Linked DNA regions of Schizosaccharomyces pombe. The protein of the gene in region 2 interacts with the protein of the main gene of each other region in a biochemical or structural test. Each region holds a gene or a part of one and is shown on either strand. Other genes may lie near its edges. The genes, in order: wsp1 and arp3.

Region 1 (3,926 bases), 4.5 Mb from region 2:
AGCTATCGAAGCAACAGGCGCGGCGGGCGCAGGAGCTGGAGCTGGAGGAGGAGCTGGTGCAGCGGGAGGCAATGGTGGAGCAGCTGGCATACCAGCGGGTAGAGGAGGAGCAATTGGTGCACTAGGTGGTAGGGGGGGAGCAGCTGGTGCGCCCATAGGTAGAGAAGGTGGTGCACTGGGGGGCAAAGATGGAGGTGCACTAGGAGGAAGAGAAGGAGGTGTAGGGACAGGAGGTGTGCTTGTTCGTGATGCATTACCAAGAGGGGGAAGTGCAGGCGCAGAACGACCAGGAATAGCTGGAGGAGGGGCTGGTGGGTTTGAAACTGCACGAGATGAAGATAAAGGGGGTGGTTGTCTCCCAGTGGAAGGAGCAGACCTTGGAGGAGGTGGAGGAGGAGCAGATCTACCTTGAGGCGGCAAAGGAATTGAGCCAGCAGCATTAGATCTAGGAGGTGGTGGAGGTGGAGGAAGAGACGAGTTAGAAGAACCATTACCAATCGGTGGTTTACCACGATTACGACGGGATGGAGGCGGAGGCGGAGGAGGTCGTTTTTTGTTAGCAGCTAGAGCTGCCGCACTGACTCTTGAAGATGGTGGAGGGAGTGGAGGTTTCGAGGTGGAATTAATAGCAGGATTCATCGAAACAGGAGCGATAGGACGGGGAGGGGAGTTAGGAGGAGAAGAGACAGTTCCATTAGATGGAGGTGGAATTGGGGGAGGAGCAGGTGCAGACAAAGAAGGAACACGCTCTGGGGGACGAGAGGAAGGAATGCTTGGAGGGATGGGAGGTGCAGAAGTACTGGTAGGTGTACCAGCTGATTCATTAAGGTACGCTTTGACGAAATCTGCGTTTTCAGCAATTTGATCCTGGGAAATGCCCATCTTCATTAGAGAATCAATTAAGCTCGGATCAAGCGAATTTAAAAGCTCGGGCTCATTGGGACTTTTAGATCCAACAGCATTATAATTTTCCTTTCCAGGTACAGGAGGAGCAGCTGAGGGAGGTTGGATATTGCTGTTGTTAGGCGCATGTCTAGAAGAACCTTTTCTGGTAATAAATGACAAAACCGGATTCTCAATTGATTCAGGATGGCAACCTTTATCTAAAACCTTTTTGTAAAATTTTTGAGCGTCTGTCTCGTTTGCAAAACTAAAACCTGCTAGGCATTTATCAAGCTCGAAAGAATGAAAAAATGTACGATCTTGGCGATAGTCCATATTTTGATAAAGCTCTTGGTCCCATATTATACCACTATTATTCTAAAACGTTAGAAGGTTATAATTCAATTAAATTGTATACCACTCTTTGTAGTTTGCTTTGAGTATCAAAGCTTCATACACATACCACAACGTCAACCAGTTTAAACCAACAGCATTTTGCTGTTGTATCATAGGACAATACAAGAGCACCACAAAGACCTGTATAATTCCATTTGTTCGGATCAGGATAAGCTACATATAGCTTGACGACGGCTGCTGCAATGATTTTATTTGTGCTTTTAGGTATGTATTTACGGATAGTTGCCTTATCCTCTTGAGTTATAGAGGAAGATGGAGGCATTTGAATTTTCGGATTGTAATGCAATTCAAAAATTGCTGTCTCACAGTGGTATAAGTGGTGTTTTGGTTCCTCCCGTTTGTTAGCATTTTCACTGTAGTTAACAAGCCAATGAGTGATAATTAGTGTAGTATACTATACTACGCTATGTACTATAAAAATTTGCAACGCACTTATTAGCAGCTGGTAAATTTTGCTAATTATATTAACTGTTTATAGATTAATAAAACTTGAGACATTAATTCGGGTTTAATATTTTTTACATTCTACATACTTATCGTCCTCATTGTAAAGAGGTAAATAAAATTTATTCAACCATACGAAGTTTGCTTGTCTCATAATGTTAGTTTATTATAAGATTATTAAAAAAATGACTTAATCATAATCATTAATTATTAGAAAAAAAAGGGAACATTAAGAAAAAGTCATTCGTGATGTTGAGGATAATAAAAAGACTCTCGTCCGGTAGGAGTAGTATAACTACATAAACAAACAGTGCGAACTCAGATGTATGGCTACTTATTAGAATCATCGAATGAAACTGAAGTAACAATACCGGAATTTTTTTTCGAACTTAATGGGTCGTTACATTGTTCGCACATTTCTATATCTGTTGCAAATGATGAACTACTGCTAGTCTCATCATCTGACTTTGCACAAAGTCGTCTCCGTAAAAGGTCAATATCTCTAGGATAAAACAATTTTTGTAAGCAAATATAGGAAAAGCGAGGCAACAAACATAAGGCAATGGTTAAAACAGTAACACACCAAAAGCCAAAAGTTTGACAAGTTCGCGAAGCTGATTTGTGGAAAGCGTAAGAGGGGCCAACTTCTGAATAAATAAATGTCCATATCCAAAATACACCTATGCTGAACATCCAAGTAATAAGTGATATTAAATTCAATCTCTCTTGATTCATCAATATAAAAATGTTGATTACAAAAATAGTAGGAGAGGATATAAAAAGTCCTATGTCTTCTATACACTCGATGTTCCTTCCAGTCCAACTTACAAAATCACCAAACTTAAAAACAAATAGAGCTACCCCAAAGCATACCAATGATTGATATATTCCATCTAGCATGTAAGACCTAAAATAAATATTTAGCAAACAGAAATCTTCAGAGTTATACTTACCAAAATCTCTTTCCGTTCCATTCTAGACCTAAAATTCCCCGTTGGTATAAGCTTGGATTTTTCATTGAAACAGATGCGTCAACGTCCTGGTCAAAACAACCTGCAATAATTACGGGTAGTGATGTGAACAGCAGATTAAAAAGCATCACGTAGGTATAATCAAATATGTAGTTTCCATCAAACTCGTTATAAAATTGATACCAAAAAAGTATAAATGTCCAAATAACATTTTTGTAAAAAAAGAATGAAATCATTTGAGACATTCTTTTATAGTCCCATCGTCCATGAACTAGAAGTAGTCGCCCTAGGAAAGAAAATTGACCGATGGCATAATCCGCCGACATTGAAGCTGCTTGCCCTTCAACGCCTTTTATCCCTACTCCAACGTCGGCTTCTTGAATCATCGAAACATCATTAGCGCCATCTCCAATTGCTAAAGTGACAACATTTAGACTCTTCTTGACTAAAGCAACAACAGCTGCCTTCTGAGAGGGACTAACCCTGCAGCACAAAACTGTCTTACACTGCTTACATAACATTAAAAAAAGAAAAGAGACCTGTTCAGACAAAACAAAGTTCAGGGCATCCCCATCAATAACTATGGCGTGTTTCGGAGATGGCGGACTGTGGTCTTTCAACAAAAATCTGAATTCTTCATCCGTTCCCATGTATCCAAAATTAAAGCATAATGTGTTTCTAATAAAAGCTTCTACTTCTTCTAAGGCACCGAAAGAGTTTGCATCAATTCGAAAAATAGTCATGTTTGGATCAAGAAGATTGCATGAATACCCAATGTTGATTGCCGTTTCTACCTTATCACCAGTCAACACCCACAACTTAATTCCAGCAATAGCCAAAAGAGCGATAGTTTCTGGTACATTCTCTTGAAGTTTATCTTCAATTGCTGTTCCACCGAGTAATTCAAGCTCTTGCTCAATCATCTCTGAAACTTTACTGACCTTTTCGTTCCGTTCATGAATGGCACTATTAGCTTCGTTGAAATTCACTTTCCATTCAAGATAATCTTGCTTATCAATAGTTCGACGAGCGATACATAACGTACGAAATCCTTCGGATGAAAATGAAGCTAAATGCTTCTTCGTCTTTTCAATGATATTGTTTTGTCCGCTGGAAAGCCTTGGAAATATTACCGTATCCGCACCTTTACAAATTAAATGAATTATACCATCCTCATCACGAATTATCACGCTCATACGCTTTCTCGTAGAA
Region 2 (3,926 bases):
TTCCTCGTCTTCTTGTTCCTCCAAAGTCTTTCTAACGACAAGAAACAACTCAATCAATTCAGAGGATTCCGCTCATGAAGTATTGCTTTCCTATAACCGCGTCCTTGGATCTGATATTCAAGGGACAATACTAGATCGCGTCAAAAAGGGCTACCAATTTGATTCCCAAAAAAACTCAGAATTAGTTTCTGATTTATACTTAAAAGATCTATGGTCTTGGATTCACTTAAGCCATAGACAATCAGAAGAATCACTGTTTGGAGACACAGGAGATACAGATTTCAGCTATCAAGGTGCACTAGGTATTTGGTTTATGGATACTGAATTGACTAGCATGTCCGATGTTTTTGAAGCAAAAGAAAGCAAATTTTTAGAAAAAAAAATTTTAAGACTTGCTAGAGATGTTATTGAGAGACTTGATTTAGATATATTTACGTCTATCCAAACTAAAAGGCCTTTACGCCAACTCGCTTTACTTGCCTGTGGATTAGGAATGTCAAATGATGACTTGTTGTTGGAAATTAGAAGACTGATTCGCAAGAATGAGCATGTAAAAGCCGCTGGGTTAGCACTTTTCCACGGAAAAATTGAAAACGTAGTCCGTATATTATCAAGTGGGAATGAGCTGGAGAAGACCATATCCACAGCAGTTGCCGGATACATTACATCGCAAGGCTTAAGTAACTTTGGAAGTGACTCATTGTGGAAAGAAATGTCTCGTAACTTAAGTACAGAATTGGAAGATCCATACTTACGTGCAATATTTGCGTATGTTTCCAACTCCGATTGGAGAGATGTATTAGATGAAGTTTCTCTCTCATTAAAAGATCGTCTTGGAATTGCTCTTCGCTTTTTACCAGATGACGATTTGAGTAATTATTTGTGCGATTTATGTCACACTACAGTGCAATCAGGCGACCCAGAAGGCCTGTTACTTACAGGTTTAACTCCTTTGGGAATGGAACTTCTGCAGAACTACATTGATCATACAAGCGATGTTCAAACTGCTGCATTGATTGCTGCATTTGTGGTACCTAAGAAATTTCTGGATAAACGTGCAGAGGATTGGACTGAAAGTTATAGAGAGCTTCTAAACCGCTGGAAACTTTACCGTGAGCGTGCAAAGTTTGATATCTTTCGGACAGAACTCTCAAAAAATCACACAGGAGAAATAACCAGAAAGGCTACAGAGCCATCTATACGCATTATCTGCAATTTTTGTAGAAAACCAATTTTTCCTTTCTCCAATAGGAATGAATGTAATAATTTACCAACGCCAATTCAACGAGGTGTCAGTAAAGCAGGCCCAGCAAAACACTTGGGAAAAAGTTGTCCTCATTGCGGACAGCCTCTTCCAAAGTGCTCTGTATGTGGGTTTTCTTTAGGAGATGAAGATGTTCCTCAGAAAGATGACTTTTCTCAAAAACCTCAAAACTATGTCAAAGAAGTTAATCTTCAGAAATCTAGATTTGGGTTATGGTTTAGCTTTTGTCTAAATTGTGGCCATGGAGCTCACGCATCTCATGCTTCAGAATGGTTTTCAACTCATACAATATGTCCGGTTCCTAACTGTGATTGTGAATGCAAACTGAAATAGAAATTGCAAATGAGAGCATTAATTAATAGCATTAAAATAACAGTTTATGGTTTGGTTCACAAGTAATAATTGCTACATGAGTGAATATAAAATCCATGATTACAGCTTAAAAATGTTTAAGGCTAAGAGGTTTAAAGCATAAGGTCTTTAATACTATGATTTGTTTAAAAATTCGACATAGCTATCTACATTTGTAATTGTTTGATAATACCAACGTGGTTAGTTTTATTACTGAAAAGGGATTAACGCAAGATCGTTAATATTTAATTTTCTAGTAGCAAGAAGCGTCTTCTAGCTTAGCAACTTGGTAATTTTAACCGGTGGTACTGGTATTGAAGAAATACATATTTAATTTTTTGTGTAAATTAATTTGGCCTTAGTAAAGATATCCAAAGTGGGTTGTATACGGGCATTCGCATTTAACGTAATCGGCTCATCTCGTAAATTACCATATGTTTCCCGTTAACCCACGTAATTCGACATCGGTGACCGTTGCGAGACGATATTAAGAGTTTCAACTGGAACCAACTTCTCTTTCGCTTACCTTTTCATAAAATAATAGCAATGGCTTCGTTTAATGTTCCCATTATAATGGACAAGTAAGTATTGATGTAGCGAAGTTAAATTGTTCGTGAATATCAGTTACTAACTTTATTTGTTAGCGGTACCGGCTATAGCAAGCTTGGGTATGTGTAATAGTCGTTTTAGGATGTTATTATCTCTCTTTTGAGCATTTATTAACAGTAATTTAATTTCAGCTATGCTGGGAACGATGCTCCTTCTTATGTATTCCCCACTGTTATTGCGACGCGTTCTGCGGGTGCTTCTTCAGGGCCGGCTGTTTCATCAAAGCCTTCTTACATGGCCTCGAAAGGCAGTGGGCATCTCTCAAGCAAAAGGGCAACTGAGGACTTGGACTTTTTTATTGGAAACGATGCATTGAAAAAGGCGTCTGCTGGATATTCTTTGGACTATCCTATCCGTCATGGACAAATAGAAAATTGGGACCATATGGAGCGTTTTTGGCAACAGTCTCTCTTTAAATATTTACGTTGTGAACCAGAGGACCATTATTTTCTTTTGACCGAACCTCCTTTGAATCCACCTGAAAACCGTGAAAATACTGCAGAGATTATGTTTGAGTCGTTCAACTGTGCAGGACTCTACATTGCTGTTCAAGCGGTTTTGGCTCTTGCCGCCTCTTGGACATCTTCAAAAGTTACTGATCGTTCGTTGACCGGTACTGTTGTTGACTCTGGTGATGGCGTTACTCATATTATTCCTGTTGTATGTATAAAAAATCTAATACGAGCTTAGATAAACAGTTTTGAACATTAAATGCATATATATATGCCCGAATTTTACTAACTGATAAACCTTAGGCCGAAGGATATGTTATCGGCTCTTCCATTAAGACAATGCCACTTGCTGGTCGTGATGTTACGTACTTTGTTCAATCCTTATTACGTGACCGCAATGAACCTGATTCAAGTCTCAAAACTGCTGAAAGAATTAAAGAGGAATGTTGCTACGTTTGTCCGGACATTGTTAAGGAGTTTAGTAGATTTGATCGTGAGCCCGACCGTTATTTAAAATATGCATCTGAATCAATTACTGGACACTCTACTACTATTGATGTAGGATTTGAACGCTTCCTCGCACCTGAAATATTTTTTAATCCTGAGATTGCTTCTTCCGATTTTTTGACCCCTCTTCCGGAACTTGTGGACAACGTCGTACAGAGCTCACCCATTGACGTTCGTAAAGGCCTTTATAAAAACATTGTCCTTTCTGGTGGTAGTACTTTGTTTAAGAACTTTGGCAACCGCTTACAAAGAGATCTCAAGCGGATTGTTGACGAGCGTATTCACCGCAGTGAAATGCTCTCCGGTGCTAAAAGTGGTGGTGTAGACGTTAATGTTATCTCCCATAAACGTCAACGAAATGCGGTTTGGTTTGGCGGCAGTTTACTAGCACAAACGGTATGTCATTATCTTATGTTTGTATATTTTTTAGTTTACCCGTAGAGATTTACTGACATGTTTAGCCTGAATTCGGATCCTATTGCCATACCAAAGCAGATTACGAAGAATATGGTGCTTCCATTGCTCGTAGGTACCAAATTTTTGGAAATTCTCTTTAATGAAATATATCATGAGTTTTGCGTCTATAGGATTTACTGATTAAAATGAAAAGTTTAATGGAGCAGGCATTAGCCTTAGAAGAAATAGACTTGAGGTTTGCTATGTTTCCAGGCTTTTTCATTGAGCAATATCAAATAAGATGTATATAATTAACTTGTCCAAATAATAATGATGAGAACCATGAG

Evidence for each region.
Region 1: the proteins of arp3 (region 2) and wsp1 form a complex in vitro, tested with the Schizosaccharomyces pombe proteins (3 studies listed by BioGRID).

Annotation. Positions count from the first base shown.
Region 1 is NC_003424.3:4,861,888-4,865,813, forward strand, and holds the start of wsp1 (actin assembly factor), read right to left. Parts: upstream 1,621-3,926; 5' UTR 1,562-1,620; coding exon 1,346-1,561; exon of another isoform or gene 1,261-1,345; coding exon 1-1,260. Other genes in the region: SPOM_SPAC4F10.16C (P-type ATPase), read right to left, coding at 2,074-2,650, 2,697-3,926. UniProt on the Schizosaccharomyces pombe protein: Has a role in regulating actin assembly, so regulating polarized growth.
Region 2 is NC_003424.3:348,316-352,241, forward strand, and holds the start of arp3 (ARP2/3 actin-organizing complex actin-related protein subunit Arp3), read left to right. Parts: upstream 1-2,117; 5' UTR 2,118-2,161; coding exon 2,162-2,196; exon of another isoform or gene 2,197-2,259; coding exon 2,260-2,283; exon of another isoform or gene 2,284-2,355; coding exon 2,356-2,884; exon of another isoform or gene 2,885-2,979; coding exon 2,980-3,579; exon of another isoform or gene 3,580-3,644; coding exon 3,645-3,740; 3' UTR 3,741-3,926. Other genes in the region: GATOR2-SEACAT complex ubiquitin-protein ligase E3 subunit Sea4, read left to right, coding at 1-1,597. UniProt on the Schizosaccharomyces pombe protein: Functions as ATP-binding component of the Arp2/3 complex which is involved in regulation of actin polymerization and together with an activating nucleation-promoting factor (NPF) mediates the formation of branched actin networks.